Xenopus tropicalis: one gene and its partners. The protein of the gene in region 1 interacts with the protein of each later gene in a pairwise test. Links are inferred from orthologs where the notes say so. Each region holds a gene or a part of one and is shown in the gene's direction. Other genes may lie near its edges. The genes, in order: chd3, sirt6, yae1, immt and serbp1.

Evidence for each region.
Region 2: the proteins of chd3 (region 1) and sirt6 interact in a two-hybrid assay, tested with the Homo sapiens proteins (2 studies listed by BioGRID and IntAct). The link is inferred for Xenopus tropicalis from reciprocal best matches to the Homo sapiens genes CHD3 and SIRT6.
Region 3: the proteins of chd3 (region 1) and yae1 interact in a two-hybrid assay, tested with the Homo sapiens proteins (2 studies listed by BioGRID and IntAct). The link is inferred for Xenopus tropicalis from reciprocal best matches to the Homo sapiens genes CHD3 and YAE1.
Region 4: the proteins of chd3 (region 1) and immt interact in a two-hybrid assay, tested with the Homo sapiens proteins (2 studies listed by BioGRID and IntAct). The link is inferred for Xenopus tropicalis from reciprocal best matches to the Homo sapiens genes CHD3 and IMMT.
Region 5: the proteins of chd3 (region 1) and serbp1 interact in binary tests that used the Homo sapiens proteins (3 or more experiments, as listed by UniProt). The link is inferred for Xenopus tropicalis from reciprocal best matches to the Homo sapiens genes CHD3 and SERBP1.

What each region holds. Positions count from the first base shown.
Region 1 is NC_030679.2:146,917,467-146,923,179, reverse strand, and holds part of chd3 (chromodomain-helicase-DNA-binding protein 3), read left to right. Parts: intron 1-177; coding exon 178-383; intron 384-1,796; coding exon 1,797-1,928; intron 1,929-2,837; coding exon 2,838-2,937; intron 2,938-3,879; coding exon 3,880-4,071; intron 4,072-4,864; coding exon 4,865-5,065; intron 5,066-5,270; coding exon 5,271-5,408; intron 5,409-5,713.
Region 2 is NC_030682.2:40,098,606-40,104,176, reverse strand, and holds sirt6 (NAD-dependent protein deacetylase sirtuin-6), read left to right. Parts: upstream 1-3,042; 5' UTR 3,043-3,048; coding exon 3,049-4,044; 3' UTR 4,045-4,427; downstream 4,428-5,571. UniProt on the Homo sapiens protein: NAD-dependent protein deacetylase, deacylase and mono-ADP-ribosyltransferase that plays an essential role in DNA damage repair, telomere maintenance, metabolic homeostasis, inflammation, tumorigenesis and aging.
Region 3 is NC_030682.2:64,475,685-64,482,010, forward strand, and holds yae1 (protein YAE1 homolog), read left to right. Parts: upstream 1-2,422; 5' UTR 2,423-2,559; coding exon 2,560-2,688; intron 2,689-4,045; coding exon 4,046-4,167; intron 4,168-5,263; coding exon 5,264-5,705; 3' UTR 5,706-6,189; downstream 6,190-6,326. UniProt on the Homo sapiens protein: The complex LTO1:YAE1 functions as a target specific adapter that probably recruits apo-ABCE1 to the cytosolic iron-sulfur protein assembly (CIA) complex machinery. May be required for biogenesis of the large ribosomal subunit and initiation of translation.
Region 4 is NC_030677.2:17,821,494-17,827,780, reverse strand, and holds the start of immt (MICOS complex subunit MIC60), read left to right. Parts: upstream 1-2,222; 5' UTR 2,223-2,350; coding exon 2,351-2,395; intron 2,396-6,287. UniProt on the Homo sapiens protein: Component of the MICOS complex, a large protein complex of the mitochondrial inner membrane that plays crucial roles in the maintenance of crista junctions, inner membrane architecture, and formation of contact sites to the outer membrane.
Region 5 is NC_030680.2:83,565,836-83,572,195, forward strand, and holds the start of serbp1 (plasminogen activator inhibitor 1 RNA-binding protein), read left to right. Parts: upstream 1-2,366; 5' UTR 2,367-2,494; coding exon 2,495-2,759; intron 2,760-6,360. UniProt on the Homo sapiens protein: Ribosome-binding protein that promotes ribosome hibernation, a process during which ribosomes are stabilized in an inactive state and preserved from proteasomal degradation.

The sequences.
Region 1 (5,713 bases):
TTGTCCTTCTCGCCCCATGCTGTTTGTATCAATACTACTTTACCTAAACCTGCTGTATCCTCCTCCCACCCCACCTTTCTTCCCATATAACTTCCATGTATTTTTCCGTGTCACCCCCGTTCCTTTTTCTTCCCTTCTGTCTCCTCCCTCACAGTGATCTCTCCCCCCTCCTTTCAGCTGGAGATCTTTCATACAGTCATGTACCGCAACTTCCAACGGAAGAACGACATGGACGAACCCCCTCCCTTTGATTACGGCTCCGGGGAGGACGAGGGCAAGAGTGAGAAAAGCAAGGATGCCGAGTACTCCGACTTAGAGGAAAGATTCTACCGTTACGGCATAAAGCCTGAGTGGATGTCTATCCAGAGAATCATCAACCACAGGTCTGAAGGCTGGCCCAATGGTCTTATCCTTATACGTGTCATGTAGAGAAAGCAGCCATTTTATTTGTTAATACCTCTCTGGCCACCATCAAGGTACCTACCAAAAGGTGTTATTGGTAAGAAGCATGTAGTCCTGCCCAAAACGGAACACTCATGAAAACAGGCTAAACCTTAAACCAGGGGTCCTCAAACTTTTTAAACATGGGGCCAGTTTATGGTCCCTCAGATTGTTGGGGGGCTGGACTGTAGTCCTCCGAATATCCCCCCCCCCCCCGCGTCCGCAAACTATGCCTCAAAACCTCAAACTACGCCCCCCTCCCTGCTGCATACCCTCGCTCCCTGTTCCCCCGCTCCCAAATGTACCCTCCGGCTCTCTTCTCTCCGCTGTGCCCCCCGGCTCTCTTCTCTCCACTGTGCCCCCTGCTCCCCCGCTGCGCCCTCCGGCTCCCTGCTCCCCGCTGCGCCCCCCCGGCTCCATTTTTCCCCTGCTGTGCCCTTCAGCTCCCTGTTACCCCGCTGCGTTCTCCGGCTCCCTGCTCCCAGCTGCGTCTGCAGACAGGTAGTAGCCAGGAGTGGGGACACATCTGGCCCGGGTAAATTACCTTGGGGGGCTGGATCTGGCCCACGGGCCGTAGTTTGAGGATCCCTGCCTTAAACCATGGGTTTGATCTCCCCCCCCCCCCCCATATTTCATTAGACACTAACCCCCAAATGTAATAAAAAGGCACTAAGTTTGCCCAGGAGCAGTAACCCATATCAACCAATAAGATGATTGCTTTTAGACAGGTGACTTTTAAATTCTACCTGCTAATTGGATGCTATGGGTTACTGCACCTGGGCAAGCTTAGTGTCTTTTATTACATAACCCCGTAAGTTTGCCCAGGAGCAGTAACCCATAGCAATCAGTAAGATGTTTGCTTTTAAACAGATAACCAGAAAATTCTGCCTGCTGATTGGTTTGCCATAGGTTACTGCTCCTGGGCAAACGTAGTACATTTTATTACAAAACCCCAATTTACTGCGGCCAATCGATCACTGAATTTACGGCTACAAATTAGTTCATTCTTGGGTTGCCAGAATTCTGTTGATAGAAAATGGTACCAGAGACTCCATATGGTCATAGATGGGCACCTCCCTGCCTGTAGATGTGTAAAGGATTATTAAACAAGGCATTTTTATTAAAGGTGACTATACCCAGGCACTGCTGTATGGGGACAAGATAGTAGATAGATCAGTATCTGATAGGAACTTATTCAACTAATAGATGGAGGGAGGAGCATCACATCAACCAATCACTGTTTCAGGTTGTGGAGACCATATGCTGCGGATGGCTCCTAATTTGATTTAATCTGTATGTAATTGGTACTTGCCGAGTCTGTGCACCATTTATGCTTCCCAACATTCTCTCCTCAGTCTGGATAAGCGAGGGAACTATCACTACCTTGTGAAATGGCGAGACCTGTCCTATGATCAGTCCACGTGGGAGGAGGATGCCATGAAGCTGCCAGACTATGAATACCACAAGCCGTTGTACTGGAGGCACAGGTACCATTGAAAGCCACAGGTAGAAATGGCAGTGCCGGAATCTTCCGCTTGTATGTCTCCTAGAAGTAAAGGGGCAGCATTATATCATTTCTGGGAGGGCCCTAACTGTTGGTACAGCTTGATGGTTTAGGTAAAGTCTGTTTGCTGGGGGGCTCTCTTTCATCCTCACGGATTACCAGGCACCTTCCTCCTCTCGGCTATTACTGCGCTTGGGATCTAAACCCAAGAAATGAAATGATCGAAACAGTTTACAATAATTTGCAATTTACATTAATTTTTTCTTCATAGTGGTTTCTGAAATATTAGCAGTTTTAAACTATTAATATCAGCACTCGCACCATATTGTTGGGTCGTGGATGGGTCTGGGCTGTCCTCTTGCTTCTGCCCGCCCCATCTGTGACATTACACTGCCCATCTTCTGGACCTGGAAGCCTCTATTTATAGGTGTGCGCCTGCCCCGCCCAGTCCCTTTTGTGACATCAGAAATGGGCGTGTCTGGCGTGGGTCTATGAATAGAGGTACATTGCCAGGTCAGGTTGGAATCGGGTTGGGAGGCAGCAGGTCGGGTGTGGGTCCACAAAATGTTCACCCACACATCACTAGAAGGGTCGCTGAAACTTTAACCTTTAAAAAGAGTAAAAGCCTGGTGTTAGTGGTCTAAAACTGCAAATATATCAGAAAAAGAGAAAACTACTATAAATTGCCAAAGTGCTCAGGGGAACCATCTGATTAAGTCTGCATCAATTAATGTTTTAGGTTAGATCCCCTTTATAATGGCCGCTCATTGTACAACCAGCAATGGTAGTAAAGCTATACCTGTATATAGTCAAGTATACCTGTGAGCCACACATTACCTCCTTTTTTTGGTGGTGATAAACTGGCAATCATCCTTCCAATTCTTTCTTTCAGGCAACTGATGATGGGAGATAGTGCCTGCTGCCCTCAGAAATACAAGAGACAACATAAGGAATCCTATTTACACGGGGTCCCCAGCTCTCCTATAAATGACGTAAGTGTTGTCCACACGTATCATGGTATTGTAGTATATAGGTGGGTAAGCCTGCTCTGTGTCTATGGTCTTTGTATCTGTCATGTAGCGATGCGTGGGTAGAGTAAAACTGGACCGGCGCCAGCCCCACCCACTGATGATGTCACAAAAGGGGTGTGGCACGCTCACGCCGCTAGTGTAAAGTTTCGGGTGGGAAGATCAAGCAGAAAAGCTCGACTCGTACCCACCTGGATCTAGAAAATGTTGTGCAAAGGTTGGCCCGAACCCACCCAACCCTCGGGCATAATAGTAGTAGTGTGTAAGGGGGTAGACAGTAGTGATGTGCGGCCCGGCCAAATACCAATAGGTCAGGTCAGTTCGGGCCAACCTCAGCACATCACTTGCGGGTCGTGGGTAGGTTCAGGTTGAGCTCTTCCACTCACTCTCCCTGCCCACAACCTAAAATTGCTGGAGGGTTAGGATCGAGTGGGGGGGGGGTCAAGTTTTTCTCATCCTGCACATCACTAGTAGACAGGTAGTGCCACGTGTATTTGTCCTGCAGCAATGACCCAATGAAAACAGGTATCCTGCAGATTATGGGTAGGATTTCCGAATGGGACAGGTCACGGGTCTATCTATATTTCTTATGTTATCTTATTTTATCTCTATTTCTCTTATGTATATTTTACTCTTTCTAAACGTTTTTTTTTTTCACCCCCCCCCCCCCGTCCACTGATGAAGTGATGACATCACTTCCAGTTTGCAGCAACAGCACTTCCTGTTTTAATGGTGGTCAGGGGATCAGTTTGCTGATAAGGAAGTTGGGGGTCGGGTAGTGGGTCCAAGCGGGTAGAAATGCGAGTTGTGGGTTTGGGTTTCAAAATTGGTTCTACTCAGGACTCTAGTTCACACCATGGTTAATCTGTGGGATAAAGTATCCGCTTGTGTATGTTTCCCTTGCAGCCTACAGTGAAGTATGATACCCAACCCCAGTTTGTATCGAGCACGGGCGGCACACTGCATATGTATCAGCTGGAGGGACTCAACTGGCTGCGATTCTCTTGGGCCCAAGGAACCGACACCATCCTGGCGGATGAGATGGGACTTGGAAAGACGATACAAACCATTGTTTTTCTGTACTCCTTGTATAAAGAGGTTAGAGAAAAAAATGGAGAGAATGAAAGGAATTTGAGAATAAGATGGGAATTTCAGTCTTGTACGCCATTGTTCTAAGACTATATGGCTGAAACTTTCCCTATGCATTTTCACTACAGTCCTATAGTGTAAAGCAGGGCTGCGATCAGAAATCATGGGGCCCCCTCAACAAAATTTTCTGCCCCCCCTCCCCCAGGGCCCCTCCCATTAGTGCAAAGGACACAGACCTAAAATGTATTAGGGCCTCCCTACCACAGTGCCCCCTAATGCTAGGCTGGCCAGGGCCCCCCATACACAGTGCCCCCAATTGCCCCCCTTAGACAGTGCCACCAAGTGCCTCATACAGTGCCCCCATACACAGTGCCCCCCATAGACAGTGCCTCCCGAAGTCGTCATCGTCGACTTCTGCTGCTGCTGATTCTTCACATGTATGCACGGGGCGCGACCAATCGGATGACAGGGCCCGGCCGTAATCGATTAAAGGGGGCCCGAGCCAGTCAGAAAACTGTAGCATGGCCGGGCCCGAGTTGTCGGCCCTGGTATAAAGGTGGGCATGGGAAGAAATGCGGGTTTGGCGAGGTCGGATCAGAAACCGCATCAATGAGCCGATGCGGTCCAAAATCCGACAGAAAATTAAACCTACACGATCGAGATTTGCCAATTTTAAGCCAGATATCTGTCGGGTAGGCCCGTCAGTGGTGCCCCCAATAACGGACTGACCAATAACAGACACCCTTTTCATAGCATATTTGATTGGAGAAGCTCTGATAATTTGGTTCTTTCTCTTCTGTAGGGACACACGCAGGGCCCCTTCCTTGTCAGCGCCCCTCTTTCCACCATCATTAACTGGGAACGCGAGTTCCAGATGTGGGCCCCCGACTTCTACGTGGTGACGTACACCGGCGATAAAGACAGCAGATCCGTCATCCGAGAGAATGAGTTTTCCTATCAGGATAACGTCATGAAAGGGGGGAAGAAAGCCTTTAAGATGAAGGTGGGTGAACTGGATGGAAGGACAGTCAGAGCTATATATCGTTTTCATACTAAAATAGACAATCCTGATTATTTACTGATAATTGTCTCTGCGTGTGTTTAGCAGAGGCTATTCTCAGTAGTCTATGGCAGGGGATTTTCTGGTGTTTAGTAGCTGCTACTAAGTTGCTCCGTGTGTCTTTACCCTTATATTTTCACTTTTCTAGGCGCAGGCCCAGGTGAAGTTCCACGTTCTCCTCACCTCTTATGAACTGGTCACAATTGACCAGGCTGCTCTGGGATCCATTCGATGGGCCTGCCTGGTGGTAGATGAGGCTCACCGATTGAAAAATAACCAGTCCAAGGTATGTTAAAGGGGCAGCAAAACGTTTTGCCTGTTTTAAACACAATCTATGGATTTTGTAATTCCTTGAACTAAACAGGGAGACTGAAGCTACTCCATGTTTGGTCCTGCAAAGGCAGCTAATTAGGGCAGAGTATAGAGGAGAAGATCCCCTGGATCAGCCTGATTACGGAAAGGCGATCTCTCATAGACTCCATTATAAGCAAATAATTCACATTTTTTTAAAAAATGATTTCTGTTTTCTCTCTAATAATAAAACAGTACCTGTACTTGATCCCAACTAAGATATAATTACCCCTTATTGGG
Region 2 (5,571 bases), on another chromosome or scaffold:
TGTCTTTATGTTGTGGGGGCGGAACCCACTGCAAGTAATTTAAACAAAAATAATAAAACCATATGTGCACACGTGTAATAGCTGAAGCTCTCCTTGACAAAAGTCTGGAATCCTCTCTAGGAATCTATAGGAAAATGTGGCTGAATGACGGATTACTCTTGATAGTAGTTGGAAAATTGCAGCTGACACATTTGCCACAGGCCTTCCCTGGACAATTTCTGATGCTTTGTGCCTGAGACTTGTGTCAGAAAATAATCTCACCCAGAGAAATTCCCATGCAGATATTTTTCTTTTTAAAGTTATAATAACAGACTGCTTCTAAACAAAGTCTAGGCTAGAGCATAGAACTGCAACTCAAGCCTAACTCAAGCCTTAGGTCTTACTTAGAAAGTTCCTGTGTGCGCCTACATTGCTATTTTGATTTGATCCTCCAGTTCCGTAAGTTATGTCAATTAAGTTTATATGTAACTTATTCCAAAGAAGATTTTCATTGGGCCCGACACAACTGTACCCCCTCTCATCCGGATTGTGGCCCTGCACGTGCAGAAAATAAAAAGCATTTATCCAGGGTTCATCAGGACAGAGGGGCGTCACTAGAAACTTGTTCCAAAAAGAGAACACCACTCTCTTTAATCTACAGGCAGTCAGTCCTTGCATAGGCCCAGGCACCACACCAACACCTACTAGCTCACTCACTGAGATGGAACCTTCTGTCCTTTTCCCTTTCAGCACACAGCATGTGTATTTTAGTCAGAGTTCTTGCAACACAAGTCCACTGCATGGATTTATTGACTAAATTATGTTTGCATTTGTCTTCTTAGTTCTTTCGCTACCCCATATGATGTATGCATCAGGACCAGCTCAAGGGCAAGGCAAGCAAGGCACCCCCCTTAGGCCCCAATTTTAGTTGACCCTGCTTGCCCAGACCCCCAACCACAATAATTTGCAGTTTCCAGTAAGCAGTGGGCGTGCCTCAGGAGCCCCAGACATTTACTGCCCCCAAATAATTTGTCACTTCCTGGCTTGTCTTTCTGTTGTGCCCAGGTCTCAAGTACTTTATTTTGTTCAAATGAGACAAAGAATGATTGTCTCATGATAAGTAACCCTATTTCAATATTTTATGCAACCTAAACCTCACACCAAGAAACACACAGCGAGTGGGTGAATTTTTCTGTGAAAAGATCAAATTTCACACTTAAATAAATAAGCCCACTATTGCTTTATCAACAATGCTTATCTGAGACAGCAAGTCTATAATCACTTTTATGGGGCTGATTCTTGAAGCTGGAAATCATATGAAGGAGTAAAATATTCACCAATGAGCATTGTGTCAGGAATCACAATAGGAATGACAATGCACTACAGTTAGGCTATATGACTGAGCAACGGCCAGGTAAAAGTACAGAACCATTAATGTCTCCTTGCCAATATGCTTTAGCAATACATTAATAAATACTTTATTTACATTAGCCCTATGGGATTGGTAATGCATTTTTCCACTTTCTGTAATTAATAAATGATTGCAAGGGCTCTTTCTGAACATGTGCACAAATATGGCTAATAAGAGGTAGCTGAAAAATAAGAACTCAGGCACAGTACTGACAAGCATAATTGTTAGCCTCAAATAAAATAAAAATAAAGAAAGGGAGAAAAAGAAGAATCGTGTGCTGTATGAAAGTCATAAGCTCACAAAAGTAGATGTGGGGTCCAGGGGCACATATCCAAGCTATGCAAAAAGAGGATTAAACCCTATAAATAAATATGGCTAGGTTTGCCATATTTTGTATACGGAACTTACTCCACCAGCCAAAAGGTTTAACAGCTCTATAATAGTAATGATCCATGCCTTGTCACAGGAGAGCTCCCCATAAGATTAGAAATCACCACTCTGCGCTTGTGAATAAGAAATCAATTCAAAAACACTTAGGGGCTGATTTACTAATCCCCAAATCCGAATGGGAAAAATTCGGATTGGAAAACGAACATTTTGCGACTTTTTCGTATTTTTTTTTCGTTACGACTTTTTCATTGCCAATACAAATTTCGTGAATTGTCGCGACTTTTTCATAGCCATTATGACTTTCATGAATTGTCGCGACTTTTTCATTGCCAATACAAATTTCGTGAATTGTCGCGACTTTTTCATAGCCATTATGACTTTTGTGAATTGTCGCGACTTTTTCACTGCCAATACAAATTTCGTGAATTGTCGCGACTTTCGTATTGAGCACTCGAAAAAGTCGCAAAACACCGATCGTTACGAAAAAACGCATTCTGACGCTTTTCGGACGTTCGTGGATTAGTAAATGTGCCCCTTAGTGAGCTGCCAGATACCAAAAGATATTGGGGAAAAATTAGTTATCTCAAAAGAAAGTTATTTAGTAACATCGCTCATATAAATAATCGTGATCACAATTAATTAAAAACAAAGGAGCTCCCCATCTTGGTTTCTGTTAGTGACACTCACATGCTCTGGGTAGCTGTTGAGAAGCTGAGCTTTGGGGTTGTCATAAATTATCAAGCAGAAAATAAGGTTGCCTGTCACAGTAGCTAATGCTATAGGGCTGACTAGAAATCGGGGGTTGTTTCCACTCACTATATATATATATATATATATATATATATATATATATATATATATATATATAATGATTCACGGTTTAAATGAGTCATAGACTGAAGAACACTGTATAATATATATAAATGTGCACACTTTAAAATACTCGTAACAACTTACACACTGTTGGTCTACCTGCAAAGTCTCCAACGCAAAGCTTTACATAACAACGAGGTAAATACCATTGCTTTTCTTCGTCACCCAGAATATAGTTTCTACCATAGAGGGCTGCTGGCTTGTTAGATATTATGTGCCTTGAACTGAATTATATACTCTCGAAATCAACGCACCAGGGACGGCGCCTAAACTCCCTTTCCAGTACTCTACAATAAGAATTCGACCGTCTGGCTGGTTTTATTGACGTCATTTGCCTGCGCCGGCCATTTAATGATCACAAAGGAGTCACTCCTGTTTCGGGCTCTGTTGGCGACATGTCGGTGAATTATGCGGCTGGCTTGTCTCCCTATTCCGATAAGGGACGATGTGGGCTCCCGGAGGCATTTGATCCACCGGACGAACTGTGTCGCAAGGTAGTGGAACTAGCTGATATGATTCGGAAATCCTCCTACGTAGTATTTCACACGGGAGCCGGGATCAGTACTTCCTGCGGAATCCCAGATTTCAGGGGGCCTAATGGAGTGTGGACTCTGGAGGAGAAAGGTGTGAACCCAAAGTTTGACATCACGTTTGAATCTGCATGTCCTTCCCCTACCCACATGGCGCTGCTTCAGCTGCAGAGGGTTGGCATCCTGAAATTTTTGGTTAGCCAAAACGTAGATGGCTTGCATGTAAGATCTGGCTTCCCCAGAGAGCAGCTGGCAGAACTACATGGAAACATGTTCGTGGAGGAATGCAGCAAATGTAGCAAACAGTACGTGCGAGATCAAGTTGTAGGAACCATGGGGCTCAAACCTACTGGGAGACTCTGTGATGTGCCCAAGGTGCGAGGCCTGAGAGCTTGCAGGGGGAAGCTCAAAGACACCATTTTGGATTGGGAAGACTCACTTCCTGACAGAGACCTAAACCTAGCCGATGAAGCCTGCAGGAAAGCAGACCTGTCCATTACATTGGGGACATCACTGCAGATTAGACCCAGTGGGAACCTACCACTCCTCACCAAGCGCAAGGGTGGGAAACTAGTTATTGTAAACCTTCAGCCGACCAAGCATGACAAGCACGCGGATTTGAGAATACACGGTTATGTGGATGAAGTGATGACACAGCTCATGGAGCTTTTGGGTCACAAGATACCAGTTTGGACTGGTATGCCTACTAAAACAGAGCCAACTAATGGAAACTATAAGGAGGAAAATCATTTCTACAATGATTCAGTGCTGGGTGCTAACCCAAACCAAAAAAGAGAAGGATGCAAGGAAGAACCTAATCTCGAGCCAAAAAAGGCAAAAGTTGAGCCAGCATGTGTATGATACTGGTCTTCTTAGTTCAAAAAAGGTGCTATATTCCTTAACTTGGCTCTAACTTTGTTTTGTGCTGGACATAAGAATACCCATATTTGGATATGTATGAGCCAAACTATTTTATATAATGTTACACACAGTGCTGTATTAGCTTGTACATGTCTTCTTGACTGAGACAGGCACACACATTAGAGAAAATGTATCCGTGAGAGATGTGCCACTCAGTTTCACTAAAGTTTTCTTTTTCAGGATGTATATCTAGCAATGCATATAAAAAGACTTGATATTGTACATTCCTCTATTTTTAAAAAAAGGGAAAAAAAAACAAAAAACAGTTTACAGAACTGCCAGCCATTTCTTTAAACAGAAATAAAATACAACTTTCTCAGATGCAGCAAGATATATTTAATTGATTTTTATACCACTGCTGGCTGGTTGCATTCATAAAACCGCAGTTTAAATAAATGAATTGCCTAGCTCACATGCATGCCAAGTGACATTGCTGACCTGAACCACCTTTTTGTCCTACCCTTCTATTTACAAGGAGCTTAGGCAGGCATAAGGTACACTGCTTCGGTTTCCCTGTGCACTTGTGCAAGTGACATAACTATGCTTTACTTGTGTAACCGTGGCAAAGCATAAACCAGAAGCTTGAAGCAATAATCATGGTGTAGAGAACCCCCACTATCCTAGTGATACTCCTCCAATAACCCCCACTATCATAGTCATACTCTTCCAATCAACACCGTACCTTCATGAGCTTCCTGACACCATGCCAGTTTTAATAGATTATGCTGATTGGAGCAACATTTCAAGGAATTTATTCCAGAAAGATCCTTGTACATGTAATTCTTATGACTAGCGAAACCTCTAGAAAAACACAGCAAGTCTAGTTGATTTGACTTACCGTATTACTACAGAGATACTCTTCCTACATTTCCACTTTCTGGTATGACTTGGGATGTAGCCAGTTTGTATTTTAGCTATTAGTTCCCCTTTCCCAACTGGCTACATTTTAAAATGACATGGATACCTGTGTTTTAATTGATTTTAAAAACCAAACCAATAGAGAAGGGAATTGAATATGCGTATTTAAGATGAGTTAAAGTTGGGTAGCCTTGCGACTGGTCTACGTGTATGAGGTGTGACAGATCAACCAATACTGGCCCAAGAAATGATCTATCAGCATCAATATTGTGTCTCCACCAATTTTAATGTGTTATTTTTAAGATTGCACCTGTTACATTAGCACTATTCTTTCCAATGCCCTGATCTGTTCTTTCTCTAGTCCTGGAGATAACACAAAACCAATTTCCTTATAATAGCACTGGTTTCTGTAATGTTTTCCACAATCTAGCATTGCTTTAATAATGGTTTCTGCATGTTGAATGTGACCTTCAGAAATGCCAGTAGTTGCACTTTTATACAATATTTTTGTTAATGGTCCGCACTGGGAGCTCCCTCCCAGTGTGGGTGGCCTAGCGTCAGCAGGGACTGTTTTTTTAAAAGGAAACTTGCTTTCCCCAACCGGACTGA
Region 3 (6,326 bases), on another chromosome or scaffold:
CACTGGGAGCACACCCTACACTTCAATGTGGTGCTGGTAAAAAGGATAAGGGTATCGTTTATATAACACTTTTCTCCTGTTGGACTCAAAAAGCTTTGCAGCAAGCAAGCCATTATAGGGGCCTGGGACACCAGGAGATTAAGTCACAAAAAGGTTACAAAGAGTTGTCACAGGGAATCAAACCAGCGTGCCTAGCACAAGAGCCCACATCAAAGGCTGATCATGGTGCTGCCTCGAGATGCATGGGCATGTTACATACAATAAAGTGATTTACAGAAATTAAGCATAAGTATTCACCTTTTGTTATTAATAGTTATTTGATTTGCAGTTTCACTGTGGCAAAATTATCTTGTTAATTCACTATTGGCAAATCAGCAGTAGGAGAAGGGAAACTAGACCTGGTCTGCTGGGCAAAACAGTGGAAGTTCTGTCTTGAATGGAGCACATCCTAAAGAGGATATATTTGGGAATTCAGGCAACTTAGAAGCTAGGTCTACGAGTCGTGCAGACTTAAGATGGTATAATGGTCAAATATTTTTTCTTGAAATAGTTCTTAATATTGCAAGTTTGGAAGCTGAGTCCTCCTGCTCTGCTCTGACCATCTGACCAACATAAGTCTTTGTGGCCCAATAGCATCCACTATCCAATGATAAAGTGCAGTTAGTTTAAGATAAATCATTATATTAACTGCACAATGTGATTTATTTATTCACTTGCCATTGTGGTAAATAGTATGTTGGAAAAACTGTGACTCTTAAAAGGAGTAAGGAATATGACTTGTAATTGCAATTTAATGTCTAGTATAGCTAAACAGATATCATGCTGGTCACTATGTGGGCTCCGTCTTTCAGGGTATTGATCACCTTTGTGCTGATATAAGGGGAGATCATTTAGATTTAAAAAGTACTTCAATTAAAAACCTCATTGATTCTTAGGTAAACACGTGTAAGTTAGGGTTGACACCTGCCCGGTATTTTACCGGCCTGGCCAGTACAAATTATTCTTAAAGGAGAAGGAAAGGCTAATAAAGAGTTAATCTCAAGCTGCAGGCATACCTTCAGTTCTCTCAATAGTGCCCTTAAGTCTCCCCATATTTCACCTGTTCAGATGATCAGAAGCCTTATAGGGAAAAAAAACACTGAGCTTGGTGAAAGTTCCCATAATGCCTCACTCCTACACCAAGACCAAGAGTACATGCTCAGTTAGTAAGACTATGAGGAATCTTCCTGCTGATTGGCTAAGATCGCACATTCCTAAGGGGGGAAGGGAGTTCTTAGCATTCTTGAGGGAGGAGGGAGCAGGAGAGGGGAGAGAGGAGAGAGCTGCGTGTGTCTGGCACAGGAAAACAAAGAGACAACAAATCCTGTATCTTTTAACAGAGAACTCAGTGCAGCGTTTCTGTGAGTGCTTATGGCTGTATTTACATAGACCTTTCTGATAAAGCTTACTTAGTTTTTACCTTTCCTTCTCCTTTAATGCTAATGTTATTAATAGGGAAAATAGCTAAAAATATAGGAAGGCCAGCATCTTTTTCGAGAAAAGGTGGCAACCCTAGTGCATACCTCCCAACTGTCCCGATTTTCGCGGGACAGTCTCTCTTTTGGCAGCTCAGCCTGCAGTCCCAGATTCTTACTGAAAAGTCCCTCATTTCCCTTTGATCTTCTGCACTGAAGCTAATTTAATTAAAAGTAGCTTTTGGCAGAGACCCCACTTAGATACATTGCACTTAGATACATTGTTTCTCACATTTAATGAAATAAGTGGGCTTTTGGCAAAGAACCCAGAAAGGTAAAGAGCCCCCCCCTGCACTGAGATACAAGTGTAACTAATAAGCTAAACAGACCTCTTGGGGGAACTGAGACTTGCAACTTAAAGGACAATTTCATCTTTTCAGCAAAACTATAACACATAAAACAAAACCCCCAGAAATGTAAACAAACTATAACCTGCCAAATGGGAGTGGTATTTAGGGGGTGTGGTCGCAAAAAAACGGGCGTGGTCACAAAGTAGCTGTGCTCTGCATTTTTTTTTGTCCCGCTTTCCATTTTCAAAATGTTGGAAGGTATGCTAGTGTAAGTCTGAGCTGGGGCGGGGAGTTTTGCCATAATCTTGAGCTCATTATTGTGTTCAGCACGCAAAAGACTTTACATATAATCATAAAAGCACGAAACAACATGCTGTTAGTTATGTACATAACATTTGAACCATATAAAGTTCGCCACACATTATTTCACCCCATGTCAAGCACTAATATTACACAAGATGGCGCTGACGCACCATTAGGAAATAGAGAAATACGCTTTCCGTTGCTTTTTTTTTTTACTACACCCAAACAACCATCTTGGCTTATAAGCAATGGACATGCCTTCAGAAAATGGCGCATAAAATAGCGATCCCTATTGGTGAGGATGCGGCTGCAAATAATTTCCACTTCCGGGGTGAAGTTAGACTGATATTTTCGTCATGGGCGAGGGGCGTATTTAGCTTTTCTGCGTTAGAGCAGGGATTCTCCTCCAGTTTATGCCATGCTAGAGCTAGATACCGGCCCCTGATAGTGAAATGGCGTGGGTACGCACCGCTTTGGAAATCCAGCAGCTTGGAGGGGAGGCAGAGGTGTTTGATGAAGATGGAGACGAGATGCGCCTTTTGCAGCGAGATTGGCAGCTGTCCATGGAGAAGAGAATTAAGGTATTCGGGAGATAGTTAGACTAACATAGCGAGTTTGGGGGCCCCTTTCTAGGCATTGCCCTATTTTACTGGTAAGTGATTTCATGTGCTCCTGGTTACCTACCCCAAGGCATACATTGAGAAGCAGGTTTTCTGGGAATTACAAGGAGGTTGGTAAAAGCGGGGCTCTGTTTTACCTCAGGGCACTGCTGTGTTATGGAGCACTCGCATCGGGGTTTCAATGTTTGTCGCAGGAATTCGGCATTTCTTCTAAACACACACATGTTCTTTCTGTGTGGCCCAAATAGCTAGTCAGTAGTAGTTCAATATAGCACACTTTATTAATTATAATCAAGAGTAATGTGCTAATAAAGTTAGTCCGTTCATTGAAGGTCAGTGGAGTTTGCCCTAATTCAAGACTAACCTACCTCATTTCTCTGCCTTGTCATTGCTTTATACACAACTTTCTTACCTGCACCCAAGCTGTGATTCGGGGAAAGTAGAATAATCACTCCCATTTCAGAACTTTATCAGTCGTTACACAAGTAACTCATTATGAAGTTACTGGTTGACCAGGTTACACTAATTCGGGGATCTTTTTGTGAGCCACAGTCAAATGTAAAAAGACTTGGAGAGCAACACAAGCATCATAAAAGTTCATGAAGGTGCCAAATAAGGGCTGTAATTGGCTATTAGGCAGCCTCTATGCACACTATCAGCTTACAGGAGACTTTATTTGGTAGTAAATCTTGTTTTTACTCAACCAAAACTTGCCCCCAAGTCAGGAATTCAAAAATCACTACCTGGTTTGAGGCCTTGGGGAGCAACGTGTTGCTCACAAGGCACTTGTTGGGGATCACTGCACTAATTAGTCCCATGTCCTACCCACCTACACATTAACCCTTTCACTGCAAGCAGATTTGGTCACAACAGAACGTTTATTGCCAGACAGTTTTTGAACATTTTGCGCTCTTTCACTTTAGAGGCCTTTTCTCAGGGTGGACTTTTAGCTTACCCAGGAAAACAATATATTTTTTTCAGGGCAATCTAAGCTTTCACAATATGCTAGAATTTTTGTGTAATGCCACTTCTATAACAATATAGGCTTCTAAATATCTATATTTAAGTGTATGTGCTTGGCAGATAGAGCCTTTTACTGCCAGCACATACAGCCTACGTGCTTGGCAGTGAAAGGGTTAAAATGGCAGGGAAAAAAATGTACCGTATCCACCAGTATATTGTCTGTTGGATATGTAGGATGCAGTAGGCATGGAGTTTTAAGTTTAAATTAATTTTAGGTTACAGATGAAAACTATTTTAACTGCTTTAATTTTGTGGAATGCTTGTTTAGTTTGAATTTCTATTCTTGTATTCGTAGGAGGGCTACGTTGATGGAATAGAGGCTGGGAAAGAAAATTCTCTACAAACAGGGTTTAATTTTGGATATAAAGTTGGAGTGAACCTGCTAAAGCATTACGGAGAGCTTAAAGGGATCTTAAGGTAAGTTGTATTGTATTTTATCTTCACTTCTCCAGTTATTTCCGACAGCTTTTCAGTCACGGGAATTACAAATGTTTAATGTGTCAAAATGCTCAGGGTGCTTTTATAAGCAGTATTAATTTTTCAGTTTTAGAGCTATTTAAGTTTTTATTAACTGCCAAAATAATAAAGTTTGTAACATCACTGCCTTCTGGTTATTTCCTGCAGTTGTACAGTCAAAGAGAGCTACCTTTTTAATAAAAAAAAAAAACAAATATTGTGCTGTTGCTTTGCTTAGGAAGGAGATGGGAAAAGGCAATTGGGGCTTCTGATCGCTTTCCTGTTTCTGTTCTGAATGTAAGGTTTGTATGTCTTTGACTGTACAATTTCAAGAACTGAGGTAGCAATATTACAAAATTCATTATATTGGCAGTTAATAAAGACTTAAATAGCGCTGAAAGATTTAACATTACATATTTTTAAGAATTGTATATATTTTTGGCAGTTCAGAAGTTTCTACACTTTTGTTATATAAGCACAAAACTGAATTATCTCATGTGAAAAAAGGGGGGCTTTTTCCCCTTTAAAGGGTTTCTTGTCACGGCTACTAAACACCAGAAAATCCCCTGCCATAGAAAATAGAGAATTGCCTCTGCTAAAACACATGTAGAGACAGTTATCAGTAAATGATCAGCATTGTCTGTTTTAGTAGCTGCAACAAGTAGCCGCTACTAGTAGCTCCGTGTGTCTTCACCCTTACAGGAAGAGCAACATTTTTTTTTTTTCTCTAATTTTGATAATTGACAGCCATGTGACTTGTGCTTCGATAAACTTCAGTCACTCTTTTAATTAAGTATTTTGCAACCTACTGCTAGCTCTTCACAAATTTGTAAAATATTTTAAATCTTAAATTGTCAATGTTGATGTTTTACTTACTGCAAACGTGATAGAAGAATGAGTACAATAGGGACAATCAGCAGAAAATTGATGTCAAAAGTTTAACTAGGGTCAGCTGACAATAAAACTTGTTGTATCATCAGGAAATGCCAGTGCTTCTAGAAAATGTATCTATGTTATCATTGTCGTTTATATAATGTACTTTGTGTGCTTGTTGCAGTGCACTCCTGGCATGGTGCCAACTTCACAAGACAAAAGATGCAGCTTCTGGAAAACTACATGAGCTTCTGACTTCATTAGATCAGTGTGAGGAACAAATTGTAAAAGATCTATCTTCCTTTTATAAAGGTGCACAACCATCTGATTTGTTGCACTGTGTGGAGGACATGGCTCTAATCAGTCATGAGCATAGATGTGAACTGAATGAGCCAGGCTCCTGCGCAGGTTCCAGGAACTGTTGCACAAGTCAGGACTCTAATGGATCATCAACATTCCGTTGCATGAATACCAACTATATCAGCGATTCAACAAAAGAAGAACTTTGTAAGATTTTTAAGGAGACACTTTTGGTGGCTGAACAACTTGATATTTCAGCAGAACTTCTTTACTATATTCAAACACTCAATAACACAGAGTCACCTCTTATTCAATTAAAGTGCTAGCCACAGCCAGTGCACCATATTTTTTGTTTCTTTTTAAACATGTTACAATGTAACCAAAGTTACACAAATGACACATTTATACTTGTTAGGTTCAGAACTATCGGTCATAGAAATTATGTTTTTAGAGTCGGTTAGACTCTTTTAAATACAGTTTGATTTAGATAAAGGGACATTGATATTTAATGATTTTATATTGGTTAAAAATAACACAACTCGGTGTAAAATATACATCTCTACCATAATAGCAAGATAAAAGTAAATACATTGTTAAAAGCCCCTTTTTTTTTTTTTAGCTGCATTGTTTAGTTTTGGGTTAAACTTAACAAATAAGTGTACAAGATTAGGTCATTTTGTATTGGGGGGAAGGCAACTGACAAAGTTCAACCTCTCTAAATGATCCCCCGTGCATATTTTATTGTAGTATTTATGCAGTGCTCACACATTCACATGCACACTAGGGTCATTTTTAGCAGGAGCCAGTTAACCTGACTTTATGTTTTGAAGTGCTGGAAACCCACACAGACATGGGGAAAACATACAAACTCCTTGCATATAACCCAAGCCAGAATCAAACCAGAACTGCAAGGCAGAAGTGCTATCCACTGAGCCAACATGCAATCC
Region 4 (6,287 bases), on another chromosome or scaffold:
ATATGCTGAGGGCTTCCCATACCAGTCAGTTGAACTGAAGAAGCTGCTCGGATGAGTAGTGAAATGTCTTCAATGATCACCAAACAAGTCCAGTTGCTTTAAATTTATTTATACTAGATAACCCCTTCTAATGTTTTAAAACATGGTTGACAGGTAAAACAAATAAAACTAGTCATTTATTATTATTATTAATAGCATTTATTTATAAAGCGCCAACATATCCCGCAGCGCTGTATAATAAGTGGGTTCCATACATTGGCATACCTCCCAACTGTCCCGCTTTTCGCGGGACAGTCCCGACTTTCATTACTCAGCCCGCTGTCCCGGATTTTTGTTTAAATGTCCCGCTTTTCAATTGCCCGCTTGTGACTGTGACGTCATGATTAGACTGCTCCGGGAAGCACAGAAAGATTGTGATGTGAACGCTGCAACGGAGATTCCAAGCCGACAGGATGGATTTATTGCTGTTGCCCTCTGCTCTTTTATGGCTCCTTCTCCCCTGCTGCCAGTATGTATGTTAGTAGCAGCTCACTACAGAAGCCTCCCTGTCTCCCACTCCTACCAATTCCTCCCCCCTTCCCGGTACCAGGCCCGGATTTGTGGAGAGGCCACAAAGGCCCGGGCCTAGGGCGGCAGAAGTTTAGGGGCGGCATGCCGCCCCGCCGCAAAAAAAAAATTAAATTTGGCTCCCATACGGAGCAGTCGGGACCTCTCCCCACTGCTCCGTATGGCATTTTTAAAGAGCGCATGCGCACTGGTGGGGCCGCTTTCGCGCATGCGCACAGGAGGGCGCGCTTTCGCGCATGCGCACTGGGGGCGCTTTCGCGCATGCGCACGGGTGGGGAGGGGACGACCGACAGGGGTGGCCTCGGGGCGCCCAAAACAGAAATCCGGCCCTGCCCGGTACAAGTTTCACTAAGCTGTTTACCTGCTACCCCCTACACCTCTTTCACTGCTGAGCTCTCTTTAGCTGTCTCCTTCTGATAACCTCCCTACCCAGAGTTATCCTGAACCTTTAGGCCAACATTTCCTTAACCCCAGTCTTCCTTACTGGTACAGGACAAAACCCTGATGGTGGTCAGTGTATCATCTATAATACTACCTGCAGGGTAATTAGCTTAACCATGTTAGTTTGCTACAACTCCCTGCATTCATTAATATCTAAAATACATTTTGCTTTCTATTAAAAGTATTGCTGAAAGGATATTGCCTTATACTTCTCACTGTAATGTATGCCTTATACATACACTGTAATGCTTGTGCAACAATGAGTGTCATGACATGCTGTGCTACTGTGTATGGGGGCACTGTGTATGGGGGGCACCTGTGTATGGGGGGGCAAAACTGGTACATAGTTATAACTCACATATAACTCACTGCCTTCTCTCTATATTTGTATTTATATGTAGGAGTTGCTATAATGTTTCCCTTAGGCAGTACAGTATGAGAGTATAGCACATTTGCGTCTGATCCCGCCATTTTAACTATATAAAAGGAGTATTTTTTTAATGGGGTGTGGTAATTGGGGCGTGGTCACAAAAGAGGGTGTGGTCAAAAAAATTGCCGCGCTGCGCGCACCAAATCTTTTTGTCCCTCTTTTCATTTTTCAAATGTTGGGAGGTATGCATGGGACATACAGAGTAACATATAAAGCAATCAATAACCGATACAAGAGGTGAAGAGGGCCCTGCCCAAAAGAGCTTACACTCTACAAGGAGACATACAGAGTAACATATAAAGCAATCAATAACCGGTACAAGAGGTGAAGAGAGCCCTGCCCAAAAGAGCTTACACTCTACACAAAGTTATTACAGAAACAGCTGTGACTTGTGAAACTATGCAAAGGATAGTTCTCTAGGTGTATCAGCTGCTTCTGCTACATTGCTGTGAGTCAGAACCCGCGGTGCACAGACTGTAACCAGGCAGGCACTGCTTTCAGCCATCACAGAGCTGCACAGAGAGTGTAAAGTTTATTTTAACCACATTTTATTGCGCAAAAGCCAGTTTCATGGTGAAAGTCCCCTTTATTAATACGTAGTGCGAAAAGTCATGTGGTACAAACTCTATAACACTGCGATAAACCACAACACACGATATCCCTGTTAGGAACTACAAGTACCAGCATGCCCCAGCCATGAGACCCGTATTGGATACGCAAATCCCTATCTTGTTCTCAGAAGTGTTATTAATAAAGCTGTTGAATTAAAAAAAAAATCAAGCTGTCATGCCATAGTGGGCGTACCCCGGCGAATGACGTAGGCGGAGCTAGAGGTGCTACACGGACCGCGCCTCCATTCATGCCGTACTGAGAGCGCTCCCGGAGCTTGCCCTCCCCATCACACCGGAGAACATGCTGCGGGTGTGCAGGAAGGCCCAGGCGGCGGTGCTCGCCAAGGTGAGTGGATAGCGCGAAAGAGTACACAGTGTTGCAGTGAGGGAGCTTCTAGTTGGGAGAATGGGCGGGGATGGATTCTGACAGGATATCGCCTAAAGGCCGGGAAACAGCAGTACTGAGCCTTACGAAGTAAGGGACCCCGGCTTCCAAGGCTGGGAGCCGTCAGCGGCGCCTAGGACTTCCTTTCACTCCAGCCAATTACAGGCAACCGCTTTAACAAGCTGCAGGCTGACCGGCCAATCAGATTCCAATGTCCTTGGCACTTTAGCCAATTACCCCTTGGTTAAATATATGACGCTGCTCGGGCGGGGCTAGCGTTAGATTGACGTCTGTTAGACCTATAACGTGGTTAGTTGTTTTGACGGACGTTCTGTGAAGCCAATGAGCGATGTATATTTTGGCAGGTAGAATGGAAAGCTATAGTGGCGAGGGACTGTGAGGCGGCATGGGGCTAGGTCACCGGGGCACACGGCCTGTATACGGCCTAAAGTTTATTTTAGCCTCAGTGGCTAATTGTACCCTCCTGCGAGAGCGCCCCTGTCTGCATAAACCCCACTTGTCTTTTGCCTGTAGGTGTGACCTTGCTTGGTGTCCCATCCCCAGGGCCTAGCTCCTATCTGGTGCCAGGGACAGTACAGAGAGTGGCAAAGAGCTTAGTTAAAGTTATTGGACCACAACTCCCAGCATCCCTTGACAGCCTTTTGCGACAGTTAAGGTTTGCTTTTTGATTGGGAGAAAATATCATCTTTTCATTCTTCCATATAAATTGTATAAAAGCGCTGCTTCACCTTCACCATTGTGTCTTTTTATTACTTATCTTTCTATGTAGGCCCTCTTCTATTCATATTCCCATCTACCTTTTAAACCACTGGCTGGTTGCTAGGTTAAATCGGACCCTAGCAACCATACAGCTGCTAAAATGTAAAATTGGGGAGCTGTTGAACACAAAGAAAAATATATCAAAACCTGCAAGTAATTAAAAATGAAGACCAATTGCAAACTGTTGCAGAATAGCACTCTCTGCATCATACTAAAAGTTCATTTCAATGTAAACTGCCCCTTTATATGTACATTGTGTTGTATGAAGCAGATCTAATGATGTATAGAGCGTTGGCACTCTGCCTTCTACTTTCTAATCTGTATCTGACCCCAGCCCAGGGTAGGAATCCTTATACAGGTGTACTAGGGACCTGGGGAAGGTATATTTCCATTATTTGGATCTCCATACTTAATAATTAAAAGCTGAAATAAACCCAGTAGGATTGTTTTGCCACTCACATGGATCTGTGCTGCTTAGTTACCATCTCATACAAGGTACTGTTCTAATATTTCAGAGAAATAGGAAATCGGAATTATTTGCTTATAATAAAGTCTGCAGAATATTAAAGATGAACTCTGGCTTCTGCGCCAAAATGTGTTACAGAGCCCCACACAGCACAGAAACCCCCCAAATCCCTATCACTGTAATCTGTTCCTTCAAAAAGTAGGAATAAATACCATTTTATATGCTGAAATCCAGCTGCAAAACAGTTCTTCTCTTTCTGCATCATTTGAAATCCTGGCAGGGGAGAAGGGACTAAAACATTGATGTTACAAATTGTAACAACTTCTCCACAGCTTACTGACAGCATGCAGGAACCCACAAATTCTCCGACATGGGGGCAATATCAACAGGAGCCAGTTAACTTTCCCCTATATTGCTGGAGGATGCACAGCAATGGCACAGAGGAACGTTACTCAGATGCCAAGCACACAGTGCCCAATCTGCACGTAATGCTCAGCAATGTGGGGCAGGAATGCTACTTAACGTGCCACCCTGCTCCCATTGATAGCCGTGCCCTTGGATGTTGATATGAATAGGTCACTATGCTATCTTTTTTTACCCACAATGCAGTTTTTATCCCCCCCCCCCAGCAAAATGGCAGGTACCCTCTAAGGCTTATGGCACAAGGGGAGATTTTCTGCCCATGGCTAAATCTGGGCTGCCGCGGGCAAGGAAATAAGCACTGTATATGCTTTCCCACTGTCAACTTACTTTACTGCTGGTTGCAAAGCATTTTGGGGAGATTTGTCACCCACAGTAACCCAGATTTAACCAAGGGTGACAAATCTCCCCTCAGGCCCAAAATGGCAGTCTATGGATTGCTGTAAGGTGCCACAGACAGTCACTATTTATTGGGCTGCTGGGGGGCTGTTTGTGCCTCTGGGTACTGGGAATGCCAGGGGGGCTGTAAGGTGCCACAGACAGTCACTATTTATTGGGCTGGGGGGGCTGTTTGTGCCTCTGGGTACTGGGAATGCCAGGGGGGCTGTAAGGTGCCACAGACAGTCACTATTTATTGGGCTGGGGGGGCTGTTTGTGCCTCTGGGTACTGGGAATGCCAGGGGGGCTGTAAGGTGCCACAGACAGTCACTATTTATTGGGCTGCTGGGGGGCTGTTTGTGCCTCTGGGTACTGGGAATGCCAGGGGGGCTGTAAGGTGCCACAGACAGTCACTATTTATTGGGCTGGGGGGCTGTTTGTGCCTCTGGGTACTGGGAATGCCAGAGGGGCTGCTGTAAGATGCCACAGACAGTCACTATTTATTGGGCTGGGGGGGCTGTTTGGGCCTCTGTGTACTGGGAATGCCAGAGGGGCTGCTGTAAGATGCCACAGACAGTCACTATTTATTGGGCTGCCGGGGGGCTGTTTGGGCCTCTGGGTACTTGTAATGCCAGGGACTATTTTGTATCCTAGTCCGGGCCTGTATCCCTGTGTGTCCTGTGAGCTGCAGCCTGTGTGAGGGGACAGATTATCATCCACTTTGGGAAATTGTGGTGCCGTGTGTGTTGCCAGTTTTTCCTAATTGCTGTGTGTGTGCCTTTATTTGTGCCAGTAATGCAGGGGGGCATCAGCTAGTTTGCAAATGGGTTGCATGTGTGGTTGCGTCAGTACAGCCGGCATGAAGGCTTCTCACTTACCCATGGGCCCTGTACCCTGGGCGCTGTTCCTCAGAGCAGGCTGAACTGCTGCAAAGTACAAGGTGTCGGTGTAAATAAGATTTAAGCACACAGAATTGCATGTGTATATGAGCCTTAATATGTACTATACATTTGTTTCACTAGTTGTACAGGTGCAACGTGGAGCTGTTTGGGTGAGGGGGCTGTTTGCTTTCTGCCCTGATCTGGTGGCTGCACACTTCCTTGTGCTGTATATATGGGGTACCCTTCACAGGGGTTTGTCCGGTTGCCATTGATCATTGGTTGTGTATAAAGGAAATATTTCCATTCATGTTCTACTTATCTTATGTGCAGTGTAACATTCTGCAGTATACTAATAGTATCTAATGATAATGATTTACAGACCGCAAACACACACTCTAAAGGTCCCCATACACGGGCCGATAGTAGCTGCCGATATGGGTCCCTTAGACCGATTCGGTAGCTAATCAGCCCATGTATGGGCGCTACCGACGGGCCTGCCCGACCGATATCTGGCCCGAAATCGGCCGGATCTCGATTGGGCGGGTTAGAAAATCTAGTCAGATCGGGGACTGCATCGGCTCGTTGATGTGGTCCCCAGACCGACTTTGCCTATACCTGTCATTATAATTCGATCATTTGGTCCCAGGGCCAAACAATCGAATTACCCTGGATTCTCCCAATATCACCCACCCGTAGGTGGGGATATCGGGAGAAGATATGTTGCCAAGCGAGCGGATCTTATGGTGTATGGGGACCTTTACTTGCAAATAAAAACTCTTGTGAGTTTATTTATTTACTAACTTTTGCTCCGGGTCTAGTAACTCATGGCAACCAATGATATGATTGCTTTCATGATTCTGACTGCTCTAGACCAGTACAAACTGCTACCCAATGCCCTGTGGGGAAATGCCTAATATGCAGTTGGTTA
Region 5 (6,360 bases), on another chromosome or scaffold:
AGCAGGTCTTAGCACAGATTAAAAATAAGTCCTGGCATTTCACAGATACCAAAACAGCTCCCCACAATAGTTACTGTCTATGGCATCATTTAGCACGCCCTCTGGCATTTGCCATAATCTACACAGTTCAGGCCTGGTCCAAAGCAGCAGTTGACTTAACTGACTTAAAGGTTAAGCTTAAAGCTTTATTGCTCTGTTTGTCTCTTCCAAAAGAGCACTTTGGCTTAGAGCTTGGGGCATGGATACTACCACTAAACTAAGTCTATGCAAATCATTTTTAACGCAATGGTAGGAATGAGTTGTTACCTTCCTTCAGAGAATAAAATGGTGAGGAATCAACTTTTTAAAGGTTTTTTTCTTCAAAGCTTAGGTCAGGTAATAGATCCCGCCAACATTTTTAGAGATACCTCTAGACAATTCTTTTGGAGCAGTGGTCAGTCCTTTGACTTTCCTCCCAGCTCAAATTGAATCTGTGTGGTGGCTTGACACTTCCCCTTGCTCCAACCGATTGGAAAGGTATATTAATCAATACTTCTTCCCTGGAGTGGTGAGTTCTCCTGGGATCAACCCTTTAAATGTTTTCTTTTTTTAAGGCTTAGGTTGGACAAAAGATCCTCAAACAGCTTGAGATATTTATTTAGCAATACCTCCAAACAATTCCCTTTGGGGCATCAGTCAGTTCTCGGTCCTCAGGGGAAGTAAAACTAAGCAATGCCTGACTTCAATGGAGTCCTCCTGACATTCAACTTCCTCCCAAAGCCAATCTTTCCTCGAAGTCAGTCTTCAGTGGTGGCTAGCCACTTCAAACATATCTAAGGGTTTCCCCTCTTTTCAATCAAATTTAAAGTTCTAGCAGCGTATATTTCTTCCTTGGGGTGGGGAGTTTTCCTGGGAGACAGTGTGGCTCCTGGCAGAGTCCTTGAGAGAACACACAGTCAAATGTGTTGGAAGTCAGGGCAGTGTTTCAAGCTCTGAAAGCCTTTGGGCCCAAGATAAAAGAAACAGCGGTGACACCAAAAATAGACAATTCATCTATTTTAGCAACATGCTAAATTAAGAAGTAAGGGAGGACCAGGAATCACCTTCTTAAGAAAATGATGTCCCTAGTTTTTATTCAGGAATAGCAGAATCTGGAGTAAGTAACTGTAGTTCACATTCTGGGCGTACTCAAACAACAAGCGCACTATATAGTTACATAGTTGCACAGGGTTGAAAAAAGACCAAAGTCCATGAAGTTCAACCCTTCGAAGTAAACCCAGCACACACAACCTATACTGACCTATCTATACACTCACATACATAAACCATATATACCAACATCAATACTAATTGTAGATTTTAGTATCACAATAGCCTTGGATATTACGCTTGTTCAAGAAATCATCCAAACCAATCTGCCATTACAATATCACTCAGAAGAGCATTCCACAGCCTCACTGCTGTCTTTTCCTGCCCAATTTTCATGTGAGCAGACCTACCCTCTGTGTATGCACAGTGGCATTATCACAGTCCCCCAGCAAGCCATGCCCCCAATATTTCCCCAGTGTCCTGCGATTTGGGTTGACGTTATAGGAAATGTTCTTTTTTTTGCCAACTAGGCCAGTAAAATACCAGGAAGGCAACAACACAAATATATACTAGGGTTTCCACTTTTCTGGAAAAAAAACTGGCCTTCCTATATTTTTGTCTTTAACCTAATAATAACGTTGGCAGTAAACATAGTTTTTCTGACCAGACCAGTAAAATACACCCATCTGTTGTACAGCACTACATAAAATGTTAGCACTTTACAAATACATCTTAATAATAGGGATGCACTAATTGTCTGCAAAACAAAATGTAGAGGTTTTGTTTTAACGGAAAAAATATTCATACAGAAAAATATGGCAACACATTGTTTCATTCAGAGACTCCTTTTTTTTTTAATTAAAACCTTTATTTTTCATTCCCATTAGCTACTATATGCGAAAACGCCTATTTCTGTAACTCTATGCTGAAGATTTTCATCAGCATTTAGCTTCCAAATTATTGAACTACAACTCCCACAATCCCCTGGCTACAGCTTCATAACAATACAACTAAGGGAGCATGTTTCCTTATGGGGGCAATTATTTTTTTAAAAAAACTATTCTAATACGGAATACTGAGGCGGTAAATTACAGCTACCCAAACCAAGCACCTCCCTCACTTCGTCTGTTTGTCTCTATCTATCTACAACTGACAGGCAGCACGCATGAAAACATAGATGGGGCCCGCACAATGCCGGTGAATGGCATGCTGGGAATGGTAGTTCCTAGCGCCACTATGTAACATGCACACGCACGACAGTTGGCATACAAGTCCCATCATGCCGCAGCCGGAGAAGTCCCGGATGTCTATCGCGCCGGAAGAGAAGACAGCCTCTTTCCCAGCCATCTTTTGGCTTACTAGCAAGCGAGCTCTAGGCTCCAGGCCTCGTAGAATCGGAGGAACATCCACCTCTTAAGGGGCCATCATGCCCGGTCACTTGCAGGAAGGCTTCGGCTGCGTCGTAACCAATCGGTTCGACCAGCTATTTGACGATGAATCTGACCCCTTCGAGGTGTTGAAGGCGGCCGAGAACAAGAAGAAGGAGGGCGCAGGGGGACCGGGTCAAGGGACCGGCAAAACGGCAGCTCAGGCCGCCAAACAGCCCAAGAAGGAGTCCCAGAAAGACCGGAAGAACCCTCTGTCCGAAAAGGAGGAGAAGAGCCAGGCGCCTGTACCAATCAAGAAGGAAGGTAACGCGCCATAGGACTAGCACTGAGGGAGTGACAGTAGGCCCCGGGGGTGATTAGGTAGTTTAATCCAACGACAAGTGGCGAGCTGTGTAAGCTTCAGCGCAGGGACGTTCCACTACTGAGTTTCGAATTATTTTATATTTCATTTCCATGCATGCACTTATAGCCTATAAAGTACTACCCCAGGTTCTACGAGTTAAGAGTTGAACTCGAAAGGTGCCATATAGCACACATTCGCAGTGTATACTTTTCCTGTCGAACTGTAAATTACGCGTTTATAGCGGCAGTTGGCTGAACCAGGCGCTTGCACCTCGGTTATCGCCGTATTGTTAACTTCTTTTTGTCAGACGGGCTCATGGCACATTAGACGGGAGGGGGGGGAGGGGAGCGTTAAGAATCGAATTGCCCTCCAAGGTCAAGCAGAGCTGTCACTGAAGTGTTACCGTTAGGGCCTCGCACATGGAGCTGCTTCCCTTAGCCCAGGCTTGTGGCGGGAGAGCGCTAGGGAGCACGTGGTGTGAGGGGGGAGGGGGGCGGTTGTCACAACACTAGGCCCTAGCCATACTTACCAAACACGTGGGCCTATCACTGAAATGTGTGTGTACTGCTATGGGTTGGGCGCTTCCTGCAGGCCTCACCACTCTGAGCCCTACTATTACTGGAGGGTTGTTGCCTTTTTCTTCCCAGTACAACTACAAAGAATAAAAGTTTGCAACATTGGTTTGGGTTGGCTTGTGCTCTTTAATGTGCATACGCCAGATTTTACTATGGGGGGGCCCTAGATAAAATATCAGTTTTCCATGTGGTTCATGAGAGCTACAGCAACTAGTCCAGGTATTACTAGTGTCAATCACAGCCGCTAAAGACGTGTTATAAAAGTACTTTGTGCCATAAAAAACACGCCGTATCAGACTCCTAACCCTAAAGCGTTTTGGAAGGCATCTTAGCTTTTATTTTAATACTAATGTCAACAGACTGATGGGAAATGTTCAAGCACTTGACCTAAAAACTAATAATGTGAAGCTCTGCTCTTGCAATGTTCAGGGCAATGTCATTTTTCTAAACATTTCCATAATTTACCCAAGTTTTATTAAGTGTAAAGCCCTTTTCTATACTGGGTGTATTTCAGTAGTAGAGTAGCGCCTGAAACAGCCCCCGATTCTTTACATTGACCAGGTGTTTTTCCTATAAGGGAATGGGGGCAGCAGGTGTTGTTTGGGGCACTTTTTAGCTAGCTGAAATAAGGCTGTGGAGAAACCACCCCATCAGCCCTTAATGTGTGGCCAATTTCACCACACATCATTGCTGTCTTTTAGTGTTCTGGTGTAACAGTTAGATCATCTGTTTGTGCAGTGTATTCTGTTTGTTACATCTACCTTCTTATTTCTCACTAAGTTTCACAGTATATTTCTTAATATAGGAGAGCTGTTAGGAATATTCCAAAACGTTTAAATGTTTTAGCATCTTACGAGAACTAAATATATATGACTAAATATATAAGCCTTCCTACCTTTTATGTTGCTGGGCAACAACTTCCAGCATTTAAAACTAACCTAATAGTCACAGATATAAGCATGCTGGAAGTTGTAGTTAACATTTGGGGACACCAGGTTTAAAGGGCTTGTGGTGAACATACTTTTTGCCTATTGTTTTAATCGCCATAAATCTGTTATTTTTATTTCTTGAGCTGAACTGGGAAATTGAAGTTACTCCATCTTTGGTCCTTGTGAGGTAGAATATTAATTAACAGTGCCCTTATAAGCTCCATGTGTAATGGGTTATTGTTAATGAAAATCTCAACTGAGGATAAAGGGAAGAGGGTTATTTACTTTAATCTAATTATCTATCTCGCAAGGTCCAAACATACAGTAGCCTCGGTTTCCCTGTTTAGCTTAAGAACAAAAACCATAGATTTTTCATTATAAATGCAACATGTACAACATATGTGCAATATGAATTTAATGAATAGTGCTTGTACTGAACTAGAGTTTTACTGCCCCTTTAAAAAAAAAAGTTTTAAATGGACAATATAGTAAACTACTTTGTTTGCTATGTATGAAACGTAGTATAAATACTTGCAGTTACACAAACAGACAACAAATGTGATTTGTATACATTAATCATTTTCATAAAGTGAAGTCTTTTCCAAAATCTAATTATTAAAAGGGTATCGTGCTAATTATGTAGATATGTTAATTGTGTCAGTGTGGCCCTTCCCAGGTCTGGGCACTTTGTAGCAGATATGTATAGTTAAATGGTAATCCAATAGTTCAAGGTCATGACAACTATAATTCTGTATGAGCTTACCTTTTCTTAGTTGTATGAAAACTCATTTTAATTCCCCCCACCCATATACATATGGCATCACATGTTCTCATGCTGGTGTTCATGTGCTCAAGCCATCTTCAGTGACCAGTGATTGGTATGTGCATGTAAGTTAGAATAGTAGTTCATAATACGTAGACATTTTCATTGCTGCATAAATGCTTGCACTAGAGTAATAACAAGACACTTTTGTTATGTAGCTATAATGTATTTAATTATACCAGTCCCGTCAAGGCAGATCTGCAAATGAGAAAAGCTCAAAAATCTTGCATTCAATTATCTGAGTAGTTGTTGCAGTATGCTCTTAGTTGCAGCTAAATTAAGCAAATAGTGTAAACACAGAGCTATGTACAGAGAGTGGAGGTCTAAATTAAATAGGACTAATATACAAGGAAACTCTGTAGTATGCTAGTATTTTAATCACATGGGCCTTCATTGCTTGCCTCAAATTATACTTTAACTTTTTTCCTGTCAGTGTGTAAGCTGATAAGATCATGCATTGCCTATAAGCACACAATTCTGACATTTAACCTGAAAAGGTCCTTGTTTTGAACTCCTAATTTTAACTAACTATATCATTAACAGGTATAGGGTTAAACAGAAATATTATCAGTTTTTTACTGGGGTGGAGGAGGTACAAAGTAATGTGTTCTTTGTGCAGTCAGCAGCCTTTTGTAACCACGCCTATTAACTGGTTTAGCAATCCTTTTAAATAGCTTTTATGGGAGGTAACACTAAAAACTGTGTTTTAAGGGTTATAACTGGCAAGAGTCAGATAGTTAATCCTTGTATGGCCTTAACTGGTTACAGCAGCTGTTGTGGTAGGGGGCTCTCTCCAGTAGCAGTAGTGCAGCACAGATTCTATTCTCAGGGCAAGGTGTGCTGTCAGTCATTACTGGCTGCATATTCTCTTCATTCCAAGGAAACCATTTTAGTTGTAGACCTGGTTAACATTTGTGGGTCAGCTCAAATTAAGTCATTAGTATTTTGTTTGAACTTTATTGTTTCATGTAGCCTAACTTTACCAACAGTCTAATACATTTTCTGTTGCTTTAGTATGCATTTTAATGTATTGTTTTTCTTTAATGTAAATGTGACTTATTATATGGGTCTTTGTAATAAGCAAATTATTAAACGACTCCTCAACCCAAAAACTGATTATTTTGCTCAATAAAAGATAATGTAATCATGAGCATATTTCCAGTATGCATTAATTACAGATGTTTAATAGTTTTAAAGTTATTTGTAAATGTAAACTAAAGCATTTTTTTGTTCT